2 linked regions of the Drosophila melanogaster genome follow. The gene in region 2 interacts genetically with the main gene of each other region. Each region holds a gene or a part of one and is shown on either strand. Other genes may lie near its edges.

Region 1 (4,908 bases), on a different chromosome or scaffold from region 2:
GAGTGAGTCACAGTGATTGACACAAATTTCTAAACAGTTGTGTATGGTGTTTCTATAAGTTATCATTTATGTATTTAATTTATGTATCATCCAACGGATACCAAAAAGAGCGCATTATCGCAAAATCGGCTGATGAGTCAAAGAAAACACGAGGTCTTCACGATTAGGGTTCAATATCCCATATTCCAATGGCCCTTTCGGGTATTTCCACATTTCGGTACATACCCTTATCTTTTCTCCTCTTCGTTCACCGTTTCGACGATTGAAAGGCGAGCAATTGGATATTGAAAGTGGTATTGGAATTAGCTGTAGTACTGCGCTTTCAATGGGGATCATCCCACTCAATTAACGGTGCTTTTCATGGGCTTAGTGAGGACTTAAAACAGAGGGGCATCTTAACATTTATCAACAAATTAGCTAGTTTTTTCCTCATTCTTGATGATATTATAAACCAACTAAAGAATTCGAGTGCTACATATGTATTAACAAATATCCCTCTGCCTAGCTACGCCCGAGCACTACACCACACCCCCCCCCCCCACAAACGCTGTAATTACCGTTAACCAAGCCTAGCATTGTCTTTGGCCCTCTGTAACGTAACTGTAACTGTAACTAGCGCGCTTTCTTTGCTCTGCCGACGCTGACGCCTCAGCCACTGTCCGTTTTTGGGCTACTGGCAGCAGGTACAGTGAACACCGAACGACGATTCATGGTCGTTTTAGTGCCCACAAATAAGAGAGTTGGTGCCATTTTTACTTGTGAATAGTGCAGAATTGGTGCGGGAAAAATGAGAGAAGAAAACCAACAAAAATCTTAATGAATTACGAAACACTAGTCACTTAGCGAGTGTCTGCTGTACACTTTGTGCTTCATGAATGAAGTGGAGTGCGGGGAGATTGGCGACTAGACAAAGAGTATGCCGCTGGCCCACCCTCTGCCCCCGACGAGTCGGAAGTGACGATGAGAGCGGCGAGAAAAGAAAACAAACTGTTGGCGGCTGGTTTCTCAGCGAGAGAGTTTGCCTGAGCGAGCGAGGGAGCCTGGCTGCCGGGGATGAGGATGTTTGGCGGTGAAGGGGAGGCAAGGCCGCAATTAATTACAAACTCACCCAGCTGTCCCCACACGTTGCCCCCGTCTACCAGCTTCTGCCACTTCCTCTTCCCCCCCCCCCCCCCCCGCTGCTTCTCGCAAGTCTGCATCCGAAAAGTGGCACGTATCAATGTTGAAAGCATAAACACACAAAGAGACCAACGAGGCGCTCTCTCGCCAACGCCAAAGCGAAGAGCAGGAGGAGGAGCAGAAGAAGCGGCGAGAAATGCAAATGCCTACAAAAAACAACAGTTCTATCCAAAGTTAAATAGTTCACTTCGATGTAATGCATTCCCGTCTACTTTTCCAACATTAAACGAAGTCATCGAAAATAATTGTGATATCACACCCTTTATATGTACGTTCTACGCACATTTGATCCTTTCATTATCCTTTTTTCTTGTTGCTCGCCTGACCAAATTACAAATGACCACACAAACATGTGTTCGAGTGCAGGAACAGCCACCTTGCATAAATGGCAACTGCCCATACGTAATACGTAATCCGTACTACGTACTGCGTATGTACATATGTATGTACACACATGCAATGTTCATCCTTCCTCCTTTTGGTTGCGGATGATACCCACTGAAAGTAGAGTTGAAACGACTAAAAGTCTAACAATGCCCACTGCCCCAAGCACTGTCGTTTCTTGAATGCAGCCAAATCAACAAACATCACGGGAAGAGCGTGTGTGTGTGTTTGCGAGTGTTTGCGGGCCGACAAACATGCGCAGGCTGAAATCTGCTGACGACGCTGAGGCGGCATTTATCACTCCCAAAAAGCGTTGGGCTCCGCAGGGGGGTGAGGGAAGGGTACGCGCATTGGGAGTCATTGATTTTCGTTTATGAGTCGGGCAGGCGACGCTCTCACTTTTTATACGTTCATTCACACGCGGCACAGTGGGCCAGAACAAGAACAAATGGACAACAAAGCATTTCGGATGACAAGAATTCGAAGCTAAGACATGCGTACAATTAAACTTTAGAAAGATCTAAAAAAAAACCCTTGATATTGACTTAGGGTGGTTTCAGCCCAACTTACCTGTGGATTAACACGTTTGCCAGGTAAATACTGCGATTTGTAAGATTTTGACTTTAAGACGTTGGATAATCCCCGACAATCCGTTGATATGCGTTACTCCATGAAGGGCTTGAACGCCAAGCATTTGTTGGCTTTATGGTTAAAACACAATAATGCAACAATGGGTCATCAACTGCCAATTTATCCCACTGTGCTCTCCGCTGAAGTGAAGTGGCCGATGCAAAGGCAAAGAGAACGTTCCCATCGCACAGAGAGAGGGAGAGAGAGAGCAATCAAGAGTTGAGAGAGCGACTAAAAAAGGTGTAGGAGTCCGTGGAGGGGGGAAGGAGGGACAGAGGATAATAGAAGGGGAGGAGAATGGGGAATTTAAATATGTTATTGATAATTGAAATTACCGCGCGCCCCCGCTGCTCATTCAAATGCAATTTTGTTGCAAAGTTTCGATTTCGTTGTCACTCCCATCCTCCGCTTTTTGTTATTCCTACCTGCACATTGAAACGAAGCGAAATAAAAGCGCGTGCTAAGGACTTAATGGCAGTGCACTAAAAACATCTTCAAATTCAAACGGAATAAAATTGAAGCGAGGCGCTGATTTCGCTGCCGCTGTCGACGCAGGTAGCGGTGTGTGTGTGTGTGTATGTGTGTCCGTTTCGGTTTTTATTTACTTTGTTCTGCTTGTTTTTTCCAGTCTCTCGTTTTTCCTTTTTGTTTTTTGGCTTCTTTTGTTATCGGGCAGCAAATTGAAAGCAATAAATACTTAATTGTTAGCTTGTTGGTTATGTTGTTTTTGTTGTTGCTGCTGCCGCTTAATTACGTAATTCCGAACTTATCTGGGCGACTTTAAGAAAATGCAAAAGAGCGCCAAGCGTGTGGCAATGGGAATGGAAGAGGGATGGAATTGGAATGAGACGCGAAAGAAATCAAAACGGCCCATTTAAGCAACACAAGAGACACAGAAATTATGAATAGAGGTGGGGAAAAAATGTAAAACCATTGAAAATTTGTCAATATCGAAAGTGGGTCTAAGTCAAATGGCAGGAGTACGTGTGATTACAATTTTTTAAGATAATCAAAAACGTATGTACGTACATATGACTTATGTACATACATATGCTCATATATGTACATATGACTTATGTACATATGTACATATGCTCATATATGTACATATGTATGTGTGTGTGGGCATTATAAAAGATGAACTACTGAGATCGAGATCGAGTTGATGGCACTATACCAAGAAACGCGCGCAGGCAAATGTTTCTGGCTTATTTGTCCTCTTGTGACACAATTAGCTGATAAAGTTCCTGATGTTTTTCCCCGCAGCGTCTGGCATGTGAATCATCATCGTCATGGGAGCTTTTGTTTCTGGGAATTTCAATTTTGAATAAACAAAATCAAAACGAGAACTTTACTTCTTGCGGCTAAACACTTTGCACAAACACGTGCAAACTCTATGTTTGCATTTGCGTGTGTGTGTGTGTGTGTGTGTGTATGTCGTCATCGACCGTCAGCGGCGCCTTAATAATAGTACACAAAAATGATAAACAAAGATCCCCCCACTCACAGCACTCGACCCCTCCAGCCATTCACAACGCACGCTCATGAACTCTTCCCTTTCTCTCGCACTCGCACTTGCACTCGCTCTCTCTTTGTTTGAGTGCAAATTTGCATTGTCTCTTTGTGCTCGCACACAAACATATGTATGTATGTACATGCACGCAGACATAAGTGCGCACATAATCACACACGCTGACTAGTGCCAAACTGACCTCACAATTGTTGTTGTTACGATTATTTGTGCCCACTTTCTTGCTTTTGTTGTTGTCGTTGTTGTTGTTGTTATTTTTCGGATCATGCTAAAACTGTAAATGATGAGATGAACTTGTTGAAGAGGATGAATCGAGCTGGAAACGGGGAAGGGGGTTGATTCGAGCTCGCATTTCAAAACCTCAAAATACATAGTTTATAGACCTTCTACAGAGTCATAAGCACACATACATACATACATCCATGTATGCATACATCTTTGAGACAACACTTAAAAAACTATTCTACTTGGATTCTGATTCGCAAAACAGACTATAGGAGCCACTCTACAAGCATGAACATATGTATACATGCGCATATGTGTGTATTTAATTTTGTTAAACCCGTTAAGCCGAGCCGATAAGTTCAAGGGGTTACCCCCACGCCTAATTTGGCAATTTCAATGGATTCGAATGATTCCATGTCAGCGCCGTGTGGATTTCTCAATTAGCAGTTGCCGCAAGTGTAGGTGATTGCCTTAGCAAGTACTTTGCATAGCCAAATCCAGCCAAAGTCACTATTTTTACATAATAAAGGGGCAGGAGCAACAACTATGCGGATTATGCTCATCACCGAAGCGCCCAACCACTCAAACACCCACGACAACACAAATACACCACCCACTGACCAGCGATTTGCTTCCGTTACAAATGAGTAAAAATCTTTGCGACAAATATACATACACATGTACAGTGCAGGTGGAGAGAATAGCACTGAAAATGTAATTACAGTTTTAAGATATGTGGGAATATTGGAAAAATTATGTTAGCAATTTGCAAGTTGGAACTAAGATTATTGTGTCTGTAAAGATTGTTAATGCAATATGTCAATTAACTTAGTTCATACAGAGCACCTATATAAAGTAAATCAAATCATTTAGCTTGAGACGATTGGCCTAAAAACTTTTATTTAAGCGCCTAGGTGTTATTATTTGTTTGCCTCAGCTGTGTGTATGCATGTACAAAT
Region 2 (4,910 bases):
ACACATTCACCCATTCCCCATTACGTTGTTTCTTTTTGTTGGGAGCAATGCGGAAGTGAATTTAATTTATTGTATTTACGCTGCTTTTGCCGCTTTTCTGCCGCCGGCTGGTCACCAGGCCAAGTCTCTAGGGGAACCAGGAAAGGAAAACAGCCAAGCGAAATCGCAGCTTCTACAAATTTTATTTCGTTTCCCGCTAATTGAAGAGAGAAACTGTTTATTTTTGAGAAACAAATCTTAATACATCCGTGCGCACAATCATAAGCAGGTAAGTAGGGACAGATTAATTTAAAGACATTGCGTTATAAAATTATTTACCAGCCTAGGGGATTGTTTACGTTTTATTTATAATAGGTCTTTGTGTTTACCGATAAGATATTAAAGCTAATAGAACATTCAATTTTTTTTTTAAATTTTAAAAGTGACTTTAATTTTAAAAGTGAAGTGAAATTTTCACCACCAGTAAATCATTCTTTTCCTTGGGAGCTATTTAGTTGACCCAAACAGTGCATGTGTTTGTTTTATACATAATGAAATTTATTGGCGAGAATTCTGCTCTCGTCAAAAAAATAAAATAACGGAGGTGGCGCACGATCAGGTGTGTGTCTAGTTCGCTCCCCCCACCGCCACCCCCTGAAATCACATACATACATATATACCTTATAGCTGCGGCAGAAGCAGGAACTGTTTGGCTGATTTGTTCGACGTCGTCGGTCGGCAAAAGCAAATAAATAAACACAATTCCGCTGGCTGTTTTACTTTTTTTAAATGTACATACTACATATATGTATATGCACATAAGTATGTACATACGCTTTTATGACAGTGTGGGCATTTCTTTTCGCCATAGCGCCCCTGCGATAAGATTTCGCTGACGCTTGCCAGAGTCGCCGGAGTCACCCTAATTGGAGCTCAACGCTCCGCTTTTGTTTCACTTCACTTCCATAGAAAAGTGCATGCAACAAGAGACTCGTGAACCGAACAGAAAGAACGATTCCGAAAGCCCGGTTCTATAGCATATAGCATATAGCGCAAAGCACACCGATATGCACTCCGATAATTACCGTTTTCATCATTTTTGTGGCGGAAAACTCGGACCTGGCCAATATGATGCAACGGGCATTACGAAAAGCACCCAGGTACCGTAATGTGGAGTGGAATGTGAAAATAGAAGAGGCTATTTTCCAAGTGAATCGATCTTGTTCGTATTGTAGAATGCTAGGGAATCGGTGAAGCGTACCGTGCATACAATGAGAGTCAAGACACTGGGCTTGGGAAGAGAAATTACTATCATATCATATTGTTACTAGACTGAGCTATGAGTATTTGCATATGGTTCTCAACCAACCACAGGTAATAATTAATCACAATCCAACTAGACTGTAAGAAATATCTAATCATATTTGGAAACAAGAAGAACATACAACAAATTATGCGCAACAATCAGATAACAAAACAATAATTAAACTATAAAACCACTCCCAAGATCCCCATAAAATTGTAACTCTTATTATTTAAACAAGCCCCAAATGAAAACGCCACAATCAGATCCTCTGAACAGGCAAATAAATCAACTAAACCTTAGATAAACCGTTGTTGCCGAGTCTTCATCCATCTCATATGAGTGTACTGCGAACCAAATATAGCCCAAGTTATCTGTTTACACGTGTAGATCCGACAAATTGTTGACCTCAACCAGAGACCAAAACTCAGACATTGTAAGACGTCGGGTGGAGCGAAGTGGGGAAGTCATATGCAGCAGATAACCAAAGCCAGATTAAGGTGGAGCAATTATTTATCAGCTGCTCAGACAAGACACTTTTCTGTTTCCATGACCATTGTGACGTAGTTATGGGAAATACATGTACCAAAAGATGGTGTTTTAACCAATTCGTAAAAAAAAGCAACGACGGCAATGGAGTGATACAGGGGTAATGTCTGTAAACACCGATTCTTGCACGATTACGAATATAAAAGAACTCCAGATATAAAAACCATTGTGCTTACATATTGAGAAAAAATGTTTTTATTTTTGACACTCTTTTCTGCTACTATTTTGACAATGGTTAATTTAACAGTTCACAACAAAAAGTATACAAATTATCAAAATTCTCACCTGTTTGCTCCACTGTGCACTGTGGTTACGTACTGTAAGGTGAGTGAGTGAATTTGTCTGTTTGCGTTGGGCTTCGGATTCGATTCTTGAGCTTTTTAGCGACAGAAGCAACGCGGAAGCGGATATGTCCAGATCCCAGAATGCTTTAGCTTTTGCTTCGCTTTCTTGTTTTATTTTTGTTTTTGGTTTTGTTTCTGTTAATTCGATGTTGTTCTTGTTGTTATCTGCTGATGACGAAGAGGGCGTCGCGCCAAGTTGCCATTGTTGTTTGTGTTGCTGTTTCCTTTTGGTGAGGGGCGCCGCGTGGGCGGTGGTTGTGTGCTTTTGGGGCTAATCCAGGCTCTCTGTTTTTGTTTTTGTTTTCGCTTCGTTCTGCGACAAATGCCAGCCGTAAAGCGGAGCAAATGAATAAGAAGAAGGCGAAGTCAAGCGTTTTTACTTCCGCCGCCGCCTCAGCAGCACGCACACACAGGCAGACGCGGGCACACAAACGCACACGCACACTGTAAGACACTCACGCGATGCACTTGCACTCTGGCGTTTTGTTCGTGTATTTGTTGTTGTACTTTGGCATTTCCTCTTTCGTCTTCCTTTTCACTTTTGCTTGCACTTCTTGTTGCGTTGCTTTGCTCTCGCTGATGTTGCTGTTGTTGTTGGCGTTGTTGCTGTCGCTCTTGTTTATTTTTTATTTCCGTTTCGCGCACACACACACCGGGCAATGTAAACACACACCGAGTTAAGAAGAACCGTTTATTTCCTCAACGCCGCGCACGAATTAAATTCTATTAATTGTGAATTAATCAATTTAAAACATATTAGTTTGCCATTTACAGCAGAATGTCTAGTTGCTTTCAGGAGCGACTCTTCTACACGTCCGCCCAGCACGGCAGTTTCTTTTTGACTGCCGATTCGATTCGAACAGGCGGCGAACATGAACAAGTCGGCGCATGCGGAGAGAGAATCGAAAGAGAAAGAGAAGCAAAGAGAGCGACATACAGCAAAAACAATTCAAAAAGAACTGGTGAAGAATACGAAAATAAGATAATTTTTTAAGGAAGTCGCGCTTTGATCCGTATCCGTTTTAGCGTCCAAGATTTATATCTTAAATCGGACCTATATTTTGAGGTACAGTGAAGCTTTGATGCGCCAGTCTTATATGAGTTAAAGTTTTAACGATTGAAAGACACCCCTGAGCTGCTCATTATATTTCAATATTTATAAACAATCTTATATCAGAGCTTGAGAGACTTGCATGCGCCACAAAATTCCAATTCCAATTCCGGAATAATTTCACAATAATCTCAATTAACATACGTATTTTATGTTCGTAATTTTTTAAAATTCCCAGATTCCCCACAATTGCCATAATAATCTCGATTATGTTATTATACTCTGAGAAGTAGGAGTGTGTGCAAAGACCACAAACAAATCATTAGGCGCGTAAACATTTACAGATCCACCATCCACTTCCTTGGCAACGAAAGAAGCAACAGCTCGCAGAGGTAATAATTTAAATAATTTAAAACCCACCAAAGTTTACTACGAAACAACTCAATAGGCAACCGCTGTCTGTGGGCGGCGTCGAATTCGCGTGGGGCGCTCGATTTAGTTGTTAATCAATAGAAGATAAAGTTTAAACAAACGATTCATGCTGATACCAGAAGCATGGGCGCCGAAATACCAAGGGATCGTTCTCTCACTAGATAACATACACACCTATTGTGACTGGAAACTTGAAATGATCGAGCATGCCATACCCATTAGCTGTCAATTGTGACTATTGGCGAGCTTTTTGCACATAAACCATAGATAAGACAATTCCGTGAACTCTAATCAGTGTGCGATAATGCTCTCAAGCATTTGAAATAATTATGAATACGACCCCCTGGCCGAAAATGAAATAAGCGCCACGCGCCTGGGAAAAGCGCTCTATTGTAATACAAAATGTTTGGAGGTGCTAGCTGATAGGTGTTTTCGATCCCATAAATCTTGGATCTTCATGGAAACCAGTTGGCAATCTTTAATTATAAATTGTTGGAACATTTCCGCTCGGCTGCGACGGAAAATCTCTTTGGAAAGGGGGCGGGGCTGGGGTTCCTCGTCAGGTTGCTTGGACGGTCGGTTGGTCGGTCGGTCGGTGGGCCTGAAGATGCGCTCAGTTGCACTGCATCCGCTTTGGGGTCTCCAGTCGCCTCAGTTGGCTAACCAGTTTCTCCCCGAGCAACGAGCAACGTTTACGTTGACATTTCAAGTCAAATGCCCATAAACGGCGACCAGCCGGACGACCCCGCCCACGCCCTGCACGCCCCTGCTCAGTTCCGTGGGTATGCACTGAAAGAAAATCTAGATTAATGGGCATTTAGGTAAGTAATAAATAGTAACATGTATTTTTATGGCTATAAATAGTTTAGCGAGTAAGCCTCGTGATATGAAACATTAAAGAACTTTTAGATTGTGACTCTAATTAAGAAATATAATAGAGATATTTTTTTCAAGTGCTATCTTTTCCGTCGATAGCTGCGATGGCGATGACGACGTTTCCAAGTGATCGCCGCAGCGACGATCACTGGCCCAAATTAGTAGCTTCGGTCATGGTGCGTCGCCCATCGGGAAATTCCAGGGTGAAAGGGTGGCTGGCGGAGGAGGAGGACGGGGCGGAAGGGGCAGAGCTGCCGATGAGGATCGCACAGGGGTCAGAGTTCAAATAGTCGTCCAATTGAGCCAATCAGCGTTTGTACATCTGTATTTCGCCATTGCAATGCAACCAGTACGCCTCTGCTGCGCCACCTCCCAC

What was found. Genes that interact genetically often act in the same process or in processes that back each other up.
Region 1: of aop (region 2) and Raf, changing one suppresses a phenotype caused by changing the other (phenotypic suppression), as found in Drosophila melanogaster (3 studies listed by BioGRID).

What each region holds. Positions count from the first base shown.
Region 1 is NC_004354.4:2,293,579-2,298,486, reverse strand, and holds the start of Raf (Raf oncogene), read right to left. Parts: upstream 3,022-4,908; 5' UTR 2,529-3,021; intron 2,334-2,528; 5' UTR 2,134-2,333; intron 1-2,133.
Region 2 is NT_033779.5:2,175,731-2,180,640, forward strand, and holds the start of aop (anterior open), read right to left. Parts: upstream 3,025-4,910; 5' UTR 2,117-3,024; intron 1-2,116. UniProt on the Drosophila melanogaster protein: Ets-related protein that functions as a negative regulator of photoreceptor development acting antagonistically to pnt and the proneural signal mediated by RAS. It acts upstream of SINA to inhibit R7 development.